Bombyx mori: one gene and its partner. The protein of the gene in region 1 purifies or fractionates together with the protein of each later gene. This does not show direct contact. Links are inferred from orthologs where the notes say so. Each region holds a gene or a part of one and is shown in the gene's direction. Other genes may lie near its edges. The genes, in order: roadblock domain-containing protein 3 and neutral amino acid transporter 9.

Region 1 (10,375 bases):
TATTTTGCAATTTGTGAAAGAATCAAACTAATTTACAAAAACAAATCAACCAGTGTTGCCATTTGCCAATGTCAATCATAATGTCAATTTTCTCAATTCTCTGGAAGTCTTAAAATTATGCTCAAATATTTATTATAAATAATTCTACTGTACGTATTTAAGCCACTGAACTCCTCCTAAGCGGCTGTCCCATTTGAAATAATTTTTGAAGTGAAACTTCTTTAGGCGCATGGAGGTAAAATTTTTACAGAACGTCACGTAGGTATGCAACGGAAGTGACATCAAACTACTATTGAAATTAAGTACCGTAAAATGGGGCGATTAGGGATTGAGAGGCGAATTGGGAAAAAAACAGGAAACTCTTTCGACGCTCAATATTAGTTTTATATTCATTGCAAAATCTTCCATTTTTTGTAGTTTAATAGTAGAATGTTGAAAGTTCACAAAACAACTCTGAATATGCATGATAATAGCTGCTAACTTATAAAAAATCGCGTTTCAAATTAACTTTCTGTGGTGGTAATTATTTCAGTGCTAGAAACTTTGCTCTCTTTTATTTATTTGATTATAATAGAAGACGACTGTGATTTATAAACGTTATTTAGTGTTTGAACCATCATATATATTAAAGGTAAGTCTCAGTTATTATTGGATTTAATGTATTTGATAAAATAAAAATACATGTAAAAATCTGTTGTTTTTGGGGATATTGGGGACGTCTTAGGTACAAATAACAACGAAATAGGGGTCAATTGGGATGAGAATAAGAGAAACGGAAACGACCTAAGTACAAATAGGTACAGGTTTGTAGGGTTGTCTATGTAGTTAAAACAATATTTTTTAAATTTGTTGGTAAAAATCTGGTTTATTCATGATGTTTTTGTCTAGAACTTTTATTCAAACTTATCAATGTGTTGTTTTATTATTTGGTAAATATTTATATTATCAGTTACGTATTGTTTTCTATTTTTAGATATGCCTCGCGTGTACGTATTAAAGAGTGCCAAACCTTATAAGAGATATGATCCCTTAATATTATGTCCTTCTTCAAACGAGGCTTGTGGAGAGTATTAAACGGTAGGCAGCGGCTTGGCTCTGCCCCTGGCATTGCTGAAGTCCATGGGCGACGGTAACCACTCACCATCAGGTGGGCCGTATGCTCGTCTGCCTACAAGGGCAATAAATTAGATATACTCTATAGAGTATATCTAATTTAAAACGCACTTGTTAACAAAACGCTAGTAAATAGGGCCATTGCCAGCTGACTGACAAAACCGGCGCATGCGCAATGTAGGCGTGAGGTGATGGTTTGCTTATTAGATATAAAATAATTAATAATTGGGAATTTAATTGTTTTTATGATCGAACAATTACCAATAGTCGTTGAACAAACGATAATTGATAAAAACTAACTAATCTGAGCGATAAAAATAAAGATATCCAATAAGAGGGGCCAACTTAAGGGTGGTAATTTGCTTAATTAATTATAATAAATATTTAAACCCGAAGAAACACTAAATAGACAAAATAAAACAAATCACACAACTTCACTCCTCGCGTTCCCGCCAAAAAGTTCAAGTTCAGTGGATTACACGGATTGTCACGGATGCATAGATAATACACACATTGAGACACGGACGGCGACCATAGATTATACTCTTAATATATTTGACGGCGACGGTATTTTGATAGTTGTCAAATCCTACGTAAAAGTGGAAAATAGAAATTATCCTAAAAATTTAAGATCGTTGACGTCGAAAATTAAGTTCCATTTGACTCCATACAGAGGAGGGCCGTTCGGATTGTCGATAATCCCATTCTCTCGGATCGTTTGGAGCCTCTGGGTCTGCGGAGGGACTTCGGTTCCCTCTGTATTTTATACCGTATGTTCCATGGGGAGTGCTCTGAGGAATTGTTCGAGATGATACCAACATCTCGTTTTTACCATCGCACCGCCCGCCACCGGAGTAGAGTTCATCCATACTACCTGGAGCCACTGCGGTCATCCACAGTGCGTTTCCAGAGATCTTTTTTGCCACGTACCATCCGGCTATGGAATGAGCTCCCCTCCTCGGTGTTTCCCGAGCGCTATGACATGTCCTTCTTCAAACGAGGCTTGTGGAGAGTATTAAGCGGTAGGCAGCGGCTTGGCTCTGCCCCTGGCATTGCTGAAGTCCATGGGCGACGGTAACCACTCACCATCAGGTGGGCCGTATGCCCGTCTGCCTACAAAGGCAATAAAAAAAAAAAAAAAAAAAAAAAAAAAATAATAACAAATCAACACTTGAAAACGATTCAAGTTTAACTTCGTACTTAGCCATTTTCATGTAAATCCAACAGCACCAAGCCTTCAAAATGCTAAAACCGAAAGCATTAACAGAAGTTTTAAGTCAAGCTAATACAGGAGGAGTAGAAAACACTTTGTAATGAAAACATTTAGTTTGGTTACATATTTTATTAGACACTAAACATCAAAATTACAGGTGCTTCTTGATTTTAGGTTGTTGAATCATCAAGGTGCACTTCTAGCTTATTCTGGTTACAATGATAAGGATGCTAGAGTCACTGCTGCAATCGCTAGTAATGTCTGGTCAGCTTATGAAAAACACGGCAGAAATGTTTTTAAAGAAGATGGACTACATTTAATACTAGTAGATTGTTTAAATGGGAAAATTGCAATCACACAAGTTGCCAATTTATTACTGTGTCTTTATGCGAATGAGGCTGTTGGTTTTGGCATTCTGAAAGAAAAAATCAATGCTATTGCTCAGTATCTAGAAGGTCCTTTGAAGCAAGTTGCAAGTTCATAATATGTAATTTTAAATAATTATGAGCAAAATAATATGAGAAGTCACTAAAATACTTTACTTGGTTACTAAAATACTTTATTCAGTTATTTGAATCTTTAAATTTTATAGCTATTATATAAAACATGATAATTGCAAATTTGATTCCTGATTTGTATGCCATGTTTGATAATAAAAGGATTTACTGAGATAGTAGCTTAATGGATTCATTTGAATAATAATAGTTAAGATGCCTCATATACGTGTGCTATGCAACTATGCTGTATTTTCTGGGACAGGTATAAACATATTATTAAATATCTAGGTTCACAATAAACTTTCACATTAAAAAAAAGCTTAGAAATAAAATAAAACATTCAAAATTAATAGATTTTCATAATAACTGTCAGTATGGTGGAACCTGCATGGGTAGATAATATATACAATATATTAATATTGGAAAAATTAATGTACTGTAAAAATGTCTTTTCATTTTAATGTCAGACATTGTTACTACTGTAAATCTAATTAACATGTCCATATGTCAGTTTGCATGGCTTCTTTGTCAATTTGATAGTGGAACAAAATAGAAAAAGTAAAGTTCAACTAAATGGTTAATGCTAAAACCCCTATAAGTTGATGTACATTTAGTCATTAATATTTTATAAACTTTAATCAGAATATTTTGTAGTATCACAATTAATGATGACCCAGTATAAATCTATTCTTCTTTAAGTTTGTATTGAATGTTTAATAGTGACAGCATAGAGCTGAGCATAGCCAGGAGTATCCTTTATGTAAATCATACAGTTGCTCCTCATATGCACATTGTATCATTGTAACCTAGGATAGATAGATGGTTTATATATAAAAAATCGAAATTTGTTAATTGTTTCTTACCAGGAATTCCAGTACAAATATTCCCTTGTTACAAGCAGTCTCGTCTGATCATTAGCTTATAAATAAATAAATAAATAAATATTTACTAACTATCACGCCACGTTAACTGGTCCCGTGATAAGTTCGTAAAGAACTTGTGTTACAGGTACCAGATAACGGAAATAAATGTAAGATTTTTATTATACACATACATATACTTAATACACATCCATAACCCTGGAAAAGACATTTATATTTATCATACAAATATCTTCCCTTGGCGGGATTCGAACCCGCGACCCCCTTGTGTAGTGACCATGTCACTTACCACTACACCAGACGGCCGTTAAATATTAAAATATTCTTAATATATACTTATAAAATATAATAATACTTATAAAGTCATAAATACCAAATAAATAATAGGTAATTTACCTGTGAAATTGCCATTAAGCATACAGAAAATGAAAGCAATATTTTTATAAATATTTTTTTTATTTCTATAAATAAAAATATGCATGATATTGATGCATCTCTACCAATTTTTCAATGCATTTACTGAAGAACTTGGGTATGGGTGCTATCAAACTCTTTAAAGGCATTTTAAACGGCTTCTCGGGTATTAAATTTTAAGTTGTCCAAACTTTGGAAAAAGTAAAAGTCTGTCAGCACAAGGTCTGGTGAACATGTTGCATTATGCAAAACTTTCATCCTTAGCTCTTGGAGCTTAGAAACTGTATAATGTGTCGTACAAAGTGTTGTTTTTTTTTTTTATTGCCTAGATGTGTGGACGAGCTCACAGCGCACCTGGTGTTAAGTAGTTACTGGAACCCATAGACATCTACAACGTAAATGCGCCACACACCTTGACACCTTGTCTTCCACCTATACTACAGCAGAGAGGAGCCAGTAACCAAGGCTGGCATTCGCAGGCTTTTCCATCTTGTCTAGTTAATCGGGTACACATTCGGGTCAAAGCTAGTGCCATTTGGTTTGCTGTGATGAATTATTGATTAGACCACCAAACAGTGACCATTAATATTTTAACCACGACGTTGGGCAACGTAAGGCATTGTTTTGGGGCAGGGGCCGAACTTGATTCGAGGTGTCTGTGTCCATGGTACGATGGCTCATCAGGCCGCCCGGGTGGGCCTGCGCCAGCCTGCTGGGTGGGAACGCGATACACCGCCGACCGGGTTGCCCATCTACAGTGCGTCCGGTGATGACAGCGACGACGGCAACGCGGAGTGTAGCCGCTGAAGTGTCATCCTATCCTCATGGTGCCAGAGCGCTAGAGTTGTTACGGTAGCGGGCGGCGCAGCCTCGATTCACTCTTCACCCTAGGACCATCATCGGGAAACGTGTTTCACACAATGTTATTTATCATTTTTATTTTCCAGAAATGAAAGTAAAACTACAAGTGAAGATAGAAATAATATATATTTGAAAACATAAAATTAAATAAGGACTTATTTCATTTTCTTCTGTTTAATTAGGTAGTTTCTAAATGCAATTTGCTTTTCTTTGAATGATCTCTTGATTTTGCCTTTTGCTTTGTGTTTTACCATTTGATAGTTTTTAGTTTTCCTTTTTTCCCTATTTGTTTTAGAGCAGTTTGCATTTTTCCTGCGATCTTTGTATCCATATTTTTGCCTATCTTCTCGTCCTTTCATTACACTCTCCAACCTTGCATTCTTATCATGTTTTTTCTTTTTATAAATATTTTCAATAGCACCAAGTTGAACCAATTCTCCAGATTCTGCCTCCTCTTCTTCAATGTTAGTATTTGATTTTCTTTTGACGCCACTAATATTCTTTTTAATTTGTGCAGCTTCAATTCTTTTAAAATCTTCATCCGTAAATATTGTCTCCATAGCAATTTCACGTGCACATTTTACTTTTTCTTCATTGTCCAGTTTACGTTTTGCTTTTAATATTTTTCTTTCTTCATTTTTTTGTACAGTATCTTCAGGTCTGTCAAACATGTTATCAGTATCGTCTACATCACATTGTTCAGCTTCACCATTTTCGTCTATGTCACTTTCTTCACTGTCTGAGATTTCAATTTCTGAAGCAGATGACGCAACGTCAACCCATTCTTCACTGTCAGAATCATTCTTTTGCTTTTTATTTTTTTCACTTTTCTTTTTATCATTATTTTTCTCTTTCTCTTTTTCCAACAGGACTTCAGAACCAGGAATATAATCCTTTGTTTCTAGTTCACCATATTTCTTTGTTTTCAGTTCGATTGAGGCTTCTGTAGGTCTACCTCTGTCTTTTTTATGTAGAAGTTCTGGCATTGATTGTCTGTATAATTGAATTAAGGATCTAGCAGCCATCATCACAGATTTTTCTTTGTAACTTTTATATTGAACTAAATCTCTTAGTAAATCTTCTCCAATAGCAAGGGGACACCTTGTGCATATTTCACGCACAGCATTTAATCCCACTGCCATTACATCAGTTGAATTTCGTTCAGTTATAAAGTTATTTGCAATGGCACGCATTACTGGCTCAATAACTTCATATGGTACCAACTCATGGGAAGCTTGTGCAGCAAATTGCAAAATTCGAGTAACTTCTCTTTGATGAGGCAAAAGTAATCTAGCTATAAATGGGTAGAAATTGAAAAGGAAAAGATTGTGTAGACCGATCAATCTTGACACAACATCTAAGGTCATTAACTTTACCTCAAATCTATCATTTGAAGCCTCCATCTGTTTGAATAATTTCTCTGCAAGACCTTGCGGGTTGTTGATCAGATGTAATGCTGAAAAATTGAATGCAGGAGCTTTTTGCTTCTTTTTCTTCATCTTTTTTGCAATCTTTTTTACTTTCTCCACCATTTTTTCCCTTTTCCTTGTTTTCTTATTAAATTTATTAGAAATCATTGTATCTCTTGGATCAATTTCGTCATCACTATCTGAATTTTGTTCTTTTTCTTCCTCATCTCTACCCAGGAAAAATTTTAATGATGCTACAAGAACTTTGGTGAATTTGGAAAAGCATCCAATATCAGCAATAATGTTGACAGTTTTTTGATCATTCCAAATATTTTTGTGATATAATTCAACAAGTATGTCAATAGAGAGTTTAGCAGCTCTTGTGTTTGAATCTTGTAACATGCTAAAAATAAAGTTCTGCAATGTTGAATTCAGTTTCATATCTTTATTTTTCATGTTCATGTTTTTGATGTCTGTTATAATATGAGTTTTCAAAAAATCCCTCAAATATTTATCTTGGCATTTTAAAAGTGTAAAAAACAATTCTAGCAAATCAAATGGCGTAATAAAGTTTTTATTTCGAAGTAAAATTAAGCACTTGCATAATGCCAAACGCATTTCATTATGTAATGTTGTGTTATGTGTTTTTAAAACATCTACAATTTTTTGTGGAAAAGTTTTCATTTCATTAAAATAACACTGTGCAACTTGAGCTAAGAACATAGCTTGCTCATCGAGTTTTTTACTATATTGTGTGGGGTTCAAGTTGAATATTTCTAAAGTGGTCTCAAAATGTGCAAGTTGTTGATGAAACTCTTCTTTGTAAGATTCTGGATCACGTTTTATAAGATTTTGCAACTGCGTTAGGTTGTTCGGAAGTTGATTATTATGCCTAACCATTTTTTAAATATTTTTGTACAATAATAGGAACAGACTGGCACTAAATATTTAGATTTTTGTTGTTTCAAACACAAGACTACGAATTAGAAGTATTCTTTCAAACACGTTTTTTAATGAAACAATGCACAAAACTATTTGCGTCTGAGCATAGTGGATGCTATTATAATATGTGAATTATTCTGAATTGTGAATATTATGTACGTTATCAGAGCACGTTAATTATTTTATAAATATAACCTATTTGCTGAGCACATGTTTTTCTAATGTGGGATTTTATGACCTGGTAGCTAAGACCTTTAAGTGATGTCTTATTTTAATAATTTGTGTTCTTATTTTTTATGAAAAATTATATTACGGAGTGAAATGAAATGAAGATGATTAATTTGAGACATTAATCAACTGGGATGAAATGAAATGTAATGAAGGAGAAGGAATCTCACAGGGAGCCAGGAAGATCAAGTACTTAAGTGTCATCCATGACATTCCGCCTACAAAATCAGTCCGCAACCGTGCCGCATTTATTCTCGGTAAACTCTATCCCATGATTTGTAAGCGGAATAAAATGTCCCTTCGGAATAAATTGACACTTTACAAACTTGCGGTCAATGGCGGATCCAGGGGGAGGGTCATGGGGGTCATGACCACCCCCTGAGCTGGGTCCAGGACTTAGGTGGAATACTAATTGAATATAATGATTTTATTTATATATTTTGTCACCATACAGATTTTATGTAACTACATACCTTCAATATTTAATTAATTTAATATAATATAATAACTTTGTATAATGGTAAACGTTTGGGAACGAACGCATCTAAATTTGACTATGTGCCCCCTCCTGGCGCCAAAACTGGATCCGCCCTTGCTTGCGGTTCGTCATGACTTATGCAAGTGTGGTGTTCGCTCACGTGGCCCGCACATACGTCATAGACATCCTCAAATTCCTACCCACTTCGATAAAGCGGCACGATACGAGAACCCTCTCATCGTGGCCGCCGGTAACTACATTCCCGATCCTGCGGAAAGAATGGAAAGCAGTCGACTTCGCCCAAAACACGTCATCTCGGATCCTCCTGATCCACTAATGGTGCTTCTAGGTACTTCAAGCACCGGTCACCGTTCTCATCGAACCCGTCGCTTGCGACGAAGGGCTCGACGAGTAAATTAACCCTCAGACTCAGCCCACTGAGTTTCTCGCCGGATCTTCTCAGTGGGTCGCGTTTCCAATCCGGTGGTAGATTCTGCGAAGCACGACTCTTGCTAGGGTTCGTGTTAGCAACTTCGTCAGGTTTGAGCCCCGCGAGCTCACCTACTAGTTAAGGTTACGCTGGAATAGCCTCTCAAGGCTACCAGCTTAGGTAGGGAAAAAAAAACCAACCTAACCCATGCATCAGCCCGCTGAGTTTCTCACCGGATCTCCTCAGTGGGTCGCGATTTCGATCCGGTAGTAGATTCATTCTCGAAGCAACTGCTCTCTGGTTGTTAGGTCTCCTTCGGAGTCACCCGGGCAGCTGTTAGCAGATTCCACTCCTCTTGGCTGAGCCTTTGCTTGCCCACCTGTCCTGGAGAAACTGGGAAGGCCTCCGGGCCACCAGTAATTCTTCAATCATATAAGAAAATATTCAAATTAATGAAACATAGATTACATTTAATTTTATAAGCGAACATTCCTCATTATGTTATTGACATCAAATACGTCGTTTGTCATGTCAAATGGCCACGTCATTTTGGCTTGAATGAGAGGCATACGCGGCGATCTTATAATTAATTGTATAACGAACAAATAATAGAAACATGAATATATTCCGTTTGCTTGGTGATCTATCCCACCTGTTAGCTATAATAATATTGTTATTAAAGATTTGGAAATCAAGATCATGTGCAGGTAAATTACATGCAAAGAATTCTCCCGGCGTGTCATTCAAATATTTATTTAACTCTAATAAATACTTAAATTATGTTTCAGGGATATCAGGAAAGTCTCAGATTCTGTTTTCAGTGGTATACACGACACGTTATTTGGATCTACTTACAACTCATGTGTCCCCGTATAACACTGTCATGAAGTTGGTGTTCATCTTTACCTCCTATGCAACTATTTATTTGATGTATGTCAAGTTTAAGGCCACCTATGATCACAACCATGACACATTCAGGATTGAATTTCTACTGATCCCCACCTTTATCTTGGCTTTATTGATAAACCATGAGTTTACTGTTTTGGAGGTAATGTTCTGTGTTTTAAGTGATATTATCCATTTTTCTCAGAAGCACTATAAATAAAATAAATTGTAAAAACTGGGCTTTGATAAATGTTAAAATAATATTTTTTAATTGTTAGTAATTTGTATATGTACATGTTTTGAGGATATGCATTGTTTTAGGTATTGTGGACTTTTTCCATTTATTTGGAATCTGTCGCTATTCTACCTCAACTGTTCCTGGTTTCAAAAACAAGAGAGGCCGAAAGCATTACCTCTCATTATCTGTTTGCTTTAGGTTCATATAGAGCTCTGTACCTCTTGAACTGGGTGAGTTTATTTCTAAAGTGAAAACTTCACTCTCATATTTGTTAAAACTAAAGTAAAAGTAATTCAAGTTAATAATTATAAACAGCTAAATTCACTTAGAATTTTTAACTGAATTTTACTGGTTAAGGTAGGCAAAAGGCCTCTTCCCTGGGACCTGGAAGCGGAGGCGCTCGCTGCGGATTACGCGTGGCGATGTGATCTCCGCTCCAGGGGGGAGCCGCGTCCCGGTGCGGCGGAAGTTCGAGCGTGGAAGCTCCAATCACGGCGTGCCGTGCTCGAGGCGTGGTCTCGCCGCCTGGCGGACCCCACCTACGGGCGACGGACCGTCGAGGCGATCCGCCCGGTCCTCTCGGACTGGGTGAATCGCGACCGAGGACGTCTCACCTTCCGAGCGACGCTGGTGCTCACGGGACACGGCTGTTTCGGTCGCTACCTGCACCTCGTCACCCGGAGGGAGCCGACGCCGAAGTGCCACCATTGCAGTGGCTGCAACGAGGACACGGCGGAGCACACGCTCGCGTACTGCCCCGCTTTCGCGGAGCAGCGCCGCGTCCTC
Region 2 (10,076 bases), on another chromosome or scaffold:
ATAGAATTTTATTACTGTGTCCTTCACTCTCTTTTTGATAGACATAGAGTTATGTACATTCTGTTTTAGTTTTTGCATTGTTAGTCAAATTTAAATACAACTGCAAGAGACTAATGTGTAGTGTTGTTACTAATGTGTAGTGTTAGTACCTTATAGGTTATATTAACTTTCGAAGGCTTCGCTGATTTTATGTAATAATTGAAGCAAAATATTTTTATTTTTTTTATTGCTTAGATGGGTGGACGAGCTCACAGCCCACCTGGTGTAAAGTGGTTACTGGAGCCCATGGACATCTACAACGTAAATGCGCCACCCACCTTGAGATATAAGTTCGAAGATCTCAGTATAGTTAAAACGGCTGCCCCACCCTTCAAACTGAAACGCATTACTGCTTCACGGCAGAAATAGGCAGGGTGGTGGTACCTACCCGCGCGGACTCACAAGAGGTCCTACCACCAGTAAATCAAAACATCGCAATGAATTTTAGTTCTGTGGCAGTCCGTCATAGACGTTCTAATGCAAGGACAATTAGGTAATATTTCTCTAATATATTAAGTGTATAATCTATGGTAATATTTGCGGTTAAGGCATCTTCTGATTAATATATTTCGTTTGATTTTGAGGTCATTTCAAATATAAGACTAAATATTCATTCAAAATTCCTAATTGGCTTTTAAATCTATTGATTCTCTTCCCAGAATATGTTGAATTTAATCTATAAATTAAAACTTGTAATTAGTAAAATTTAGAGAAAATAAAGTTAATTTGTCTCATTTAAATTCAAGTTCATAAGGTCATTCGAAACGAGGCATAAAAATGACAGGCTGACGTCGATAATGTGTCAAGATAACGCCGTTGAGATGTGAACCCGTTGCTTATTTATCTATGAATAATATTTTTTGAAAAATTCAGTTTGTGCGTTGAAATTTATTTCCACTCAAACATGTGAAGTATTAATGTCAGGTTAGGCTATCAAAGGTTATCGATTTACAAGTTTTGTTGCTTTAGGTCTATTATTGATAGAAGCTTTAGGTATAAGACTTGAATTTAATTCGAATTCAATCAAAATAATTTTCATGGTATGTTTTACGTCATTTTTGCATCTAGAACAAAATATTTTTCAAATAACTTCCGGTTTATATGCTTTGTTTCATTTTTAGCCTTTTGATATTACCTATAGGACCAAGGTACACTTAACCACTTTGAGTTCCGAGAACGATAAAAGCAGTAAGGGTTAATTATTAATCTGTGTTTTTTACTTATAAAGCTTAGAGCAGTGTCTCCCAACCTTTTTTGTGCCATGCCCCACTGTAACATTACTAAAAATTTTATGCCCCCATAATTTTTAACATAAAAAATTAATTCGTTCACTTAAAAACATAAATGATAGGTTTTATTAAGGAATCACTATAAAATTGTTATCAAAACACAGTAAGTAATATTTCAAAACATAATAAAAAACTGAAATTCAGATTCAAAATAATTTTAATACAGATTTTCTGTATTAATTTAATTCGATTGCGCCCCTTATTTATGAAATTGCCCCCTTATGGGGCGTGGGCTCCACGTTGGCAAACACTGGCCTACAGTATTTTGAAATACGTCATTATTCAGACATTTTAAAACATCTGGTGCATGTATCTCTTTATTTATTTTCTTTTTTACTGTATGGTAGTTGGCTAAATGCATGGCCTCTACTGTCAGTGTCCAATTCACAAATATCTTTAATTACTACATAAATACTTTAAAGGAAATATGGAGCGAAAAGAAAAGAAATATTTTTTTTTGTAATCCTTTGACATAAATTTGATTAAAACAAGATAAAATAAAATGATATAGCATCTCGGTAAAATGGTATTGGGAATTTACTGAGACTTTCATTGACTTTTTGAATGAACCCGAGAATCCCGTCCAGCAGCTTTATTTTATTTTCCCACACTTTCACGTATGCTAAATATTTTAAAAGGCGCAGACCGCAGGTGTATTTACCACAGCCTATTTAAGACGTATCATACATATTCAACTTTAGTACCACTCCAGAGAATGCATTTTAAAAACATTTTCACCGGTAGTTCTTTCTGCTTGGAACATGTACCTTTAGCGTGCATAGAAAGAAAAACGGCATTTTAATGATCAGTAAAATAAAATTTACTACAAATTCTCAGAAGTAAATCCGCTGGCGATCACTAGCGAGCTCTCATTGTTTTATAGCATTTATCTTAGTGTCTTGCGATTACAGTCAACCTTACTTGGCGACAGCGGATCGCCTCGGTTAGTTTAATAAGTTTAATTATTTGATTTGTATATTCTTTCATAGATTATTCGGGAGTGCCTGCTCTGACTATTCTGACTGTGAGTACTGTGATGAGAGAAGACGACAGATTAAAAAAAAGTAAGTTAAAGTACCTAGATTTTAAACTCAAAATGACAAAATATACGCTAATAGTTTGCGTGATTTTGGTGTAATAGAGATAAAAGGCTTTATAACTTGTGTCCAGTGCCGGTAATAAATAACAAAATAAAAATTTTTGAAAAATCTCAACATGATCAGGCATATTTATCTACATTTTTCGAAAACTTTTATCGTTGTACGTACTTCTTTAGTTAAAAAATGGGCCAATATTGTTCAATATTTCTAATAACCATGCAAAATTATTTAAAAAGTTAATCGAATCTTCTCCTTTTTGCGTCATTTATGATGTTCAAATGACTCTCTCAAGTGCGGTTTTGCGCAGCGCATTGGACGCTTCCCTCATATTTATTTTTATAACATACAAAAATATGAATAAAAACTGATTGACTTTTATTTTTTATCTCAGTTTTATTTAGCCCTTCCATTACTAGTTTTTATTACTATTACATTACTATTGCGAGGCCTTTAAGGGCTTAATTGGACGTTACCTATTTAAAAGGAATTGTTTGCCTAATTGACAGGTATTCACCAAGTGACAGCTACTGTAGTGCAATGAGTCGTTTGGAAACGACCCCTTTGCTTGGAGTACTGGCAACAAGACCGGCCTACAAATCCTTGGGAGACAGCACGGATACACTGGTCAGTAATTAAAAAAAAAAAGCTGAAATACATTCAATTTTTTTTATGGAGGGTAGAGGTAAGGAGAACCATCTCAGTATATTAAAAAGTGTTCACTGAAGGGCAGCAAATTAAGATGGCGCCATAGTAGCAAGTGGAAAGATTTTAAAAACAGCGCCACAAGCTGTTACACTTCTGGTATATTCCGATTTGCAATGCGAGCACTGTAAAGTGTGACGTCAAATTAGTATACTGCCAAACCGTTCCTTTATAGTACAGTATACTGTCATCGACGTTGTCATGGAGGTGTTTTCATTTCAGCAAAAAAAATCTTGTTTAAATTTACTTATATTTGAAAATAGAATATTCAAGTTATTGTCAGTTTAATTAATCGCTAAAAGAAAGTATATTTTTAGTAAAAGAACATATTGTTTTTCAAGCAATTTAATCTATAATAACTTAATAACCGTATTATTGAAATGAGGTTATGCACGGTAAAAGTGCTGAAGTGAAGATTTATGAAATCATGTATCATTCCTCCGTTCCATTCATCATCATGTATAATCAATCATTCCTTAAGTTACTACTATATATATATATATATATACTGTCAGTCCTTAACGTAGGCAACGAATAGCAGTGAGAGCACTGAACAGTGCTCGGAGTGTAAATCGGAACACAATCGGAACGTTACTGATGGTAGGACCTCTTGTGAGTCCGCGCGGGTAGGTACCACCGCCCTGCCTGTTTCTGCCGTGAAGCAGTAATGCGTTTCGGTTTGAAGGGTGGGGCAGCCGTTGCAACTATACTTGAGACCTTAGAAATTATATCTCAAGGTGGGTGGTGCATTTACGTCGTAGATGTCTACGGGCTCCAGTAACCACTTAATACCAGGTGGGCTGTGAGCTCGTCCACCCATCAAGCAATAAAAAAAAAAACATAGCCTTCACTGCAATCCAGCACACTTCACTCAGTTGAAAACTTCTATATTCATACTATTTCCCCTGGCTACGCTAGCGCTAATTCGGTGAGTTTTCGAATTATAATTTGCTGTTTATTACAGATGACACTTTTTCAACTTGTCCCCTATACAAGATGGTGCTCCTTACCTCTACCCTCCATAATTTATTTGCGTTTCATCCACCAAATAAGCCATTTAAAAAGTTTACATGTATGTACATTTATTTACCAGTTTTGGAATATATCAATAAATTGTTGGAATATATAAATCGAATGACGAGCGAATTTGAACAATAACCTAACGTCACAGTTCAACAAATTAAGCTGAATAAATAATATTGTTACAAAAAACATTCTCATTATCGTCTAATTAGGTCAAGTGCGCAAATTGTAATGATTTAAACGGCTTGTCAAAACATAATCAAAAAGCATTCTCGCTTTTTTCTGCCCTTGATTTTTCTGATAACAGCGATATTTTTAATTTAAAACCAAGAAGATCACAGAGCTAATTAGCTAGGGGCTGTGATTGAGCAATATACCCAGCAATAGCGTAATATTTGAAATAAAAAATCTACTGTATATCACTACACGCGGGACATCTATCGTCTGTTTTTTGTAGTGTATTACCCGACTAAGTTTCTCGCCGGATCTCATTACGGATCCTCCCGATCCATTAACGGTGCTTTTAGGTACCACAAGCACCGGTCACCGTCCTCGCCGAACCCGTCGCTTGCGAGGAAGGGCTCCACGAGTAAATTAACCCATAGGTACAACCCACTGAGTTTCTCGCCGGATCTTCTCAGAGGGTCGCGATTTTGATCCGGTGGTAGATTCTGCGTAGCACTGCTCTTGCTAGGGCCAGTGTTAGCAATGCTCTCGGTGTTTGCCCCGTGAGCTCACCTACACGTCAAGGAGAAGCTGAAATATCATCACAAGGCTATCAGCATTGGTAGGAAAAAAGAAAAAAAAATACATCGCCCGATCTTCTCTGAGGCTCGCGATTCTGATCTGGTGGTAGATTCTGCGTAGTACTGCCCTTGCCAGGGCCAGTGTTAGCAAATTCTATAGGTTGAGCCCGTGAGCTCATCTACCCGTCCGGGCGTAGCTGAAATAGCCCCCTAGGCTATAAGCGAATAGGTAGGGAGAAAAAGCAAATATAAAACAAAAAAAGAAAAAGGCAGAGGTCCACGGCACAAGGCAAAAAGCGCATGAGCGCAGAGATCACGAACAAACAAACTAAATTTATCTGTAATCGTCAATTAACAGTCAATACGTAATATTAGGTGGCGGCATTTTGAACGTAAACCTATTTGATAACACACTGTTAATAAATAATCAAATAGAGTAAATCGACTTCGCCACAGAATATAAATAACCGTATTTTTTTACGAATTAAAAGTATAAAAAATCATTAATATAAATAAATCGCTTAATTCGAAACGTTATCATTACGTGAATTATTGGCGGCGTGTTATCGTCGACGCCAGAGCCTGTTTATTATGTCTCCAAATCTCGTGCAAGCGATCCTTGGATAGCAAAACTTTAATCTTTATAGGTTATCTAATAACGTTTTGTTATTTGCTAATAATACGGTAAGCATATATAAAAATAAACACAAAAGAACTTAGTTGTCAAAGAAAACTTATAATATATAGTATGGGACCCAAACACAGATATATTTTTTTATTGCTTAAATGTGTGGATGAGCTCACATCCCCCCTGGTGTCAAATAGCTACTGGAGCCCATAGACATCTACAACGTATTATAAATGCGCCACCCACCCCATATACAACGTAAATGCGCCACCCATCTTGCGATATAAGTTCTAAGGTCTCAGTATAGTTACAGTGCCTGTCCCACCCTTCAAACCGAAACGCATTACTGCTTCACGGCAGAAATAGGCAGGGTGGTGGTACCCACCCGCGCGGACTCACAAGAGGTCCTACCACCTACCACAGATTAGGCTTGGAGCTCCTACTCCTAGACCGCTCCGCCTATATCTCAGTGGAATTGGTGTCAACTAGGACTGAATCGAGAAACACATAAGTCACACAGGAGTCTAGACAGACACACTGGACCAGGCTAACGTCCACCTTGGGCTGCAAGCAGGGACGTCTTAAATTAGGCTGGGGCCCTTGGGCACACAAGAATTTGAGGCCCTTTTGGAAAGTAAAAAAATATATTTTTACTGAGTATGACCATTTATAGGTAATCAAATACAGTATGATATAAAATGTCATTAATGATATTAGAATGCTACTGGTTTTTTTGTTACGATCACGATAACGGAAGCCGTTATCGTGATCGCTAGATGGTGTGCTAAGTAAATTAGGTAGGATGCGTTCGGAAATATTATTAATTAGTACAGTAGAAATAGGCGTAGCCATCAATATAATGGCGTAGTACATGCCTTGAAAATACCTTCTGATAAGATTACTGATTTGTGAAAAAAGTGTAATGTGCCCAACAAAAATGTTTAGAGAATAAATGCGTGAGAGAAATTGTCGGTCCTTCGGGGCCCCCTGAGAATGGGGGCCCTGGGCACGGGCCCCGTGTGCCCTTATGGTAAATAATAATAATAATAATAATAAAACATTTATTTCAGAAAAAATCCATAAAATAATAATAATACAATAGTCAGCACACAAACAGTTCAACAATACAAATAGAAAATGAACAATATACTAATTCAATTAATTAAATATACAAAGGAAATGAATTAGAAACACATAATTATATCAATACAGTAGTAACCACTCTATGTCAATATTAGCTATCATTATGTCAATCAGTCAATTAATTTGGAGAAAAAATAAAATAAAAAAGAAAATCATACACATTTCATAATGAAGAGTAAAATAATAATAAGGATATGTCAGTCTTGACATATAATAATAATACCTTATAAGACGGTATTGGCTGCAAGACCTAATATAATGATGCCATACGAAGGTTTTTATATTATTTTTCTTATGACAGGGTCCCGGAGAGGTTTCCTCAGATGCCGTATTATCTACTTACAAGAAAAATTTCGAAAAAACTGTCAAAAATGAAAATAAGAAGCAAAGCTCTTTAGTTACAATGTAAGTAACAAAACAAATTTGTTGACACGGATCCGCCTTACGTATTTACACTACGAGAAATTAGGTTTTTTCTCACAGGAAATTCCAAGTTGAGGAGTGAATATTAATAAATAAAATGCAGACTTTTAAATTAATAAGGGAAGCGACGAGGCTAACTCGTAAAATGACGATAATATGTCCAAATATACAAACATTATCTCTTTTTGATCAATTAACATCTCGCTAAGACTTATCAAATCAAACATGCATACTTATAATTTGACTGAAATATTTTTATAGTTATACTCCACTACTCTGTATAATAGCTGTTATAAAATTACTATTATTTAATACTTTAATCTAGGCATCTCGAACTATAAATTATTGATAACTTGAGGATAAAGTTTGCAATTAATAATTTCCTTGCACAAACAAAGTATAAATAAATGCCTTTTGTAAATTTGATTAAATAATAGACTCAACAAACAAAATATTTGCAAGATCCGATTTGACGACCAAGCTGACCGAGTTTCTCGCCGAATCTTCTCAGTGGATCGCGTTTAGATCGTCGCGTGGTAAATTCTGCAAAGTACTGCTCTTGCTAGGGCCAGTGTTAGCAACACTCCGGTTTGAGCCCCGTGAGCTTATCTACTAGTTGAGGTTACGCTGAAATGGTCTCTAGATGACTATCAGCTTAGGTAGGGAAAAAAACTTAATTTTGTTTCAATAACATCACTTTTGTAAAATCAAAGGTGTAAAAGTGTATTGAGTTTTTTTTTCTTTCACGCAGATATCGATTGTGTATAGTGAATTTTTCTATGAGATCGAAATAATATTCATAGAAAATACTTTTTTTTTTCCTACTCCCTAATCTGATAGCCTTGAGAGGCTATTTCAGCGTAACCTTAACTAGTAGGTGAGCTCACGGGGCTCAAACCTGATGTCGAAAATACATGACTTACTAATGAATATTCAAAGATTCGGTTTTGTGATACGGCGTGTGGGACATAGACGTTTTGTCCCCGGAATAATGTGTGGGCACTATACGGCATTTCCTTCGGTTTCAGCGACTTGTATACATAATTAAAACGTTTACGGTTTAAGCTCGCGCTTGTTATTAGGTACTTTGGTCAGCATTATATTCGAAGGTGACGTATGCCTAACACCTTAGTCGTCTGTGACAACGAAAAAAGTAAAATATTCGAAGAGCCTGCAGTAATTAAATGAGAAAAATAATCGCGAGATACAAATAAACACAAAGGTTATTTTAAATACTGTCACCCTTTTTTTAATATCAAAACAAAATAAAACCCTGTTCTACTCCGATCGAATCAAAGTATCTCTGTCGTCTCACAATAATTAACAAACTTGTAGATTCTTCCAAAGCTTAACCCAGTGGTCGGCAAACTTATCAGCCAAAGAGCCAAATTTGCAAATTAAAACGACTTAAAATAAATGAGAGCCAAATCTGTTTGTAAATGTAGTAAGCATTTATTATTGCAAATCATAAAATAAGTGCTTTATTGTATACTGATTCGATTAATATATATATAATAATCGACATCAGTCTGGGGTGCTGATATTAAATGAACGTACATACTATTAACAGGCTTTTTCGTCCAAAGCCGGATAATATTAGAGGCCGGGCAAGTCCGTAGGATATTTGTGCCAGAGCCACACTCAAGAGTTCAAAATTTGAACTTCAAATACCCGCACTTTGCCGACCTCTGGCTTAACCCATACATCAGCCTGCTGAGTTGATCTTTCAACGGGTCGCGATTCCGATCCGTAGTAGATCCGATGCATTTGCTAAGTAGCTACCTTTAGAGCCATCAGTGTGCTTAGTGCGAGTTTTTTAACGTTCTCGATAGCGTAAAAGTTCGCCCAATTTTGTATGCAATTACAGGAACAGCGCCCCTAGCGGTAAACGTACGCAAACGATCCCATTCCATACAAATATGAAATAACTTTTACGCTATCGACAACGTTAAAAAACTCGCACTAAGCACACTGGTCTCTTTAGGAGGCGCTCGGGCGGTTCTTAGTAGATCCCACCCATCCTAACCGAGTCTGTCCTCGCCCAACTGCCCCGGTGAAACTGGACCAGCCGTAGGACCATCAAAAAACCTTAGAAAAATAACTTCAAACAAAGTTTATTTAATCAGAATCTAATCTCAATCAAGAATAGTGTATAAATTAGTTAGCGAATTGGATTTATTAGTTCAAGAGTGTAGGGACACATTTAGCAGCGTATGCAGTTTTGTGCATCGCATGCATTTGGTCAGTCGTACATAGCCCACCCGACACGGCAGACACTGGTGAATATACGGAGTTAAAATTGCAATCAACTTGTTTCCTTAGTAAAGGGCAGCTTACTCTTTACTCTTGCTAAAGCTACCGTACAGTGGTGACCCCGAGGACTCGAACTTTATTTATACCGTGCGTTTTGTGTACCGTGAAAGTGTTTTTTGGGACTTGGACCGGTACGACCCACTACTGCGATTTCCTGCACCATGGCGCAGGCCGACGCAGACGATTTCAAGCAAACCATGGCTCCGGAAGCTGCTCTCCAACTGGCAAGCATTACCATATCATCACGCATACCAGAGTTTTGGATGGACCAACCACGCCTTTGGTTTATCCAGATTGAGGCTATCCTGTGCCCGCAGAAGCTAGGCGACGAGCAAAAATACAACTTGGTAATCGCGAAATTAAGCAAGGATGCCATAGCCCAAGTTACCGATTTTTTTGCCAAACCACCGGAGAAAAATAGGTATAATGCGCTGAAAGAGAAATTACTTCAAGTTTTTGAAGATTCAGAGGCCCGAAAACTATACAAGCTGATTGGTGAGATGGAGCTTGGTGACCAGCGCCCATCCCAGCTGCTGACGAAGATGACTGACCTGGCACGGGGGAAGGTGAGCGAGGACACTCTGTCTTTGCTGTGGAAAAGGCATCTCCCGATGTCAGTACGCGCAGGCCTCACCGTATCTGAGACCAGCGACTTGGCGCAGCTCGCCAA

Evidence for each region.
Region 2: the proteins of roadblock domain-containing protein 3 (region 1) and neutral amino acid transporter 9 purify together in Homo sapiens (co-immunoprecipitation; 5 studies listed by BioGRID and IntAct, with this or other methods). This does not show direct contact. The link is inferred for Bombyx mori from reciprocal best matches to the Homo sapiens genes LAMTOR2 and SLC38A9.

The regions. Positions count from the first base shown.
Region 1 is NC_085123.1:7,136,355-7,146,729, reverse strand, and holds roadblock domain-containing protein 3, read left to right. Parts: upstream 1-1,684; 5' UTR 1,685-1,766; exon of another isoform or gene 1,767-1,767; intron 1,768-2,267; 5' UTR 2,268-2,355; coding exon 2,356-2,423; intron 2,424-2,500; coding exon 2,501-2,810; 3' UTR 2,811-3,519; downstream 3,520-10,375. Other genes in the region: protein SDA1 homolog, read right to left, coding at 5,135-7,288; ERD2 (KDEL endoplasmic reticulum protein retention receptor 2), read left to right, coding at 9,083-9,173, 9,255-9,514, 9,673-9,819. UniProt on the Homo sapiens protein: As part of the Ragulator complex it is involved in amino acid sensing and activation of mTORC1, a signaling complex promoting cell growth in response to growth factors, energy levels, and amino acids.
Region 2 is NC_085109.1:1,885,852-1,895,927, reverse strand, and holds part of neutral amino acid transporter 9, read left to right. Parts: intron 1-2,317; coding exon 2,318-2,392; intron 2,393-2,934; coding exon 2,935-3,052; intron 3,053-6,971; coding exon 6,972-7,075; intron 7,076-10,076.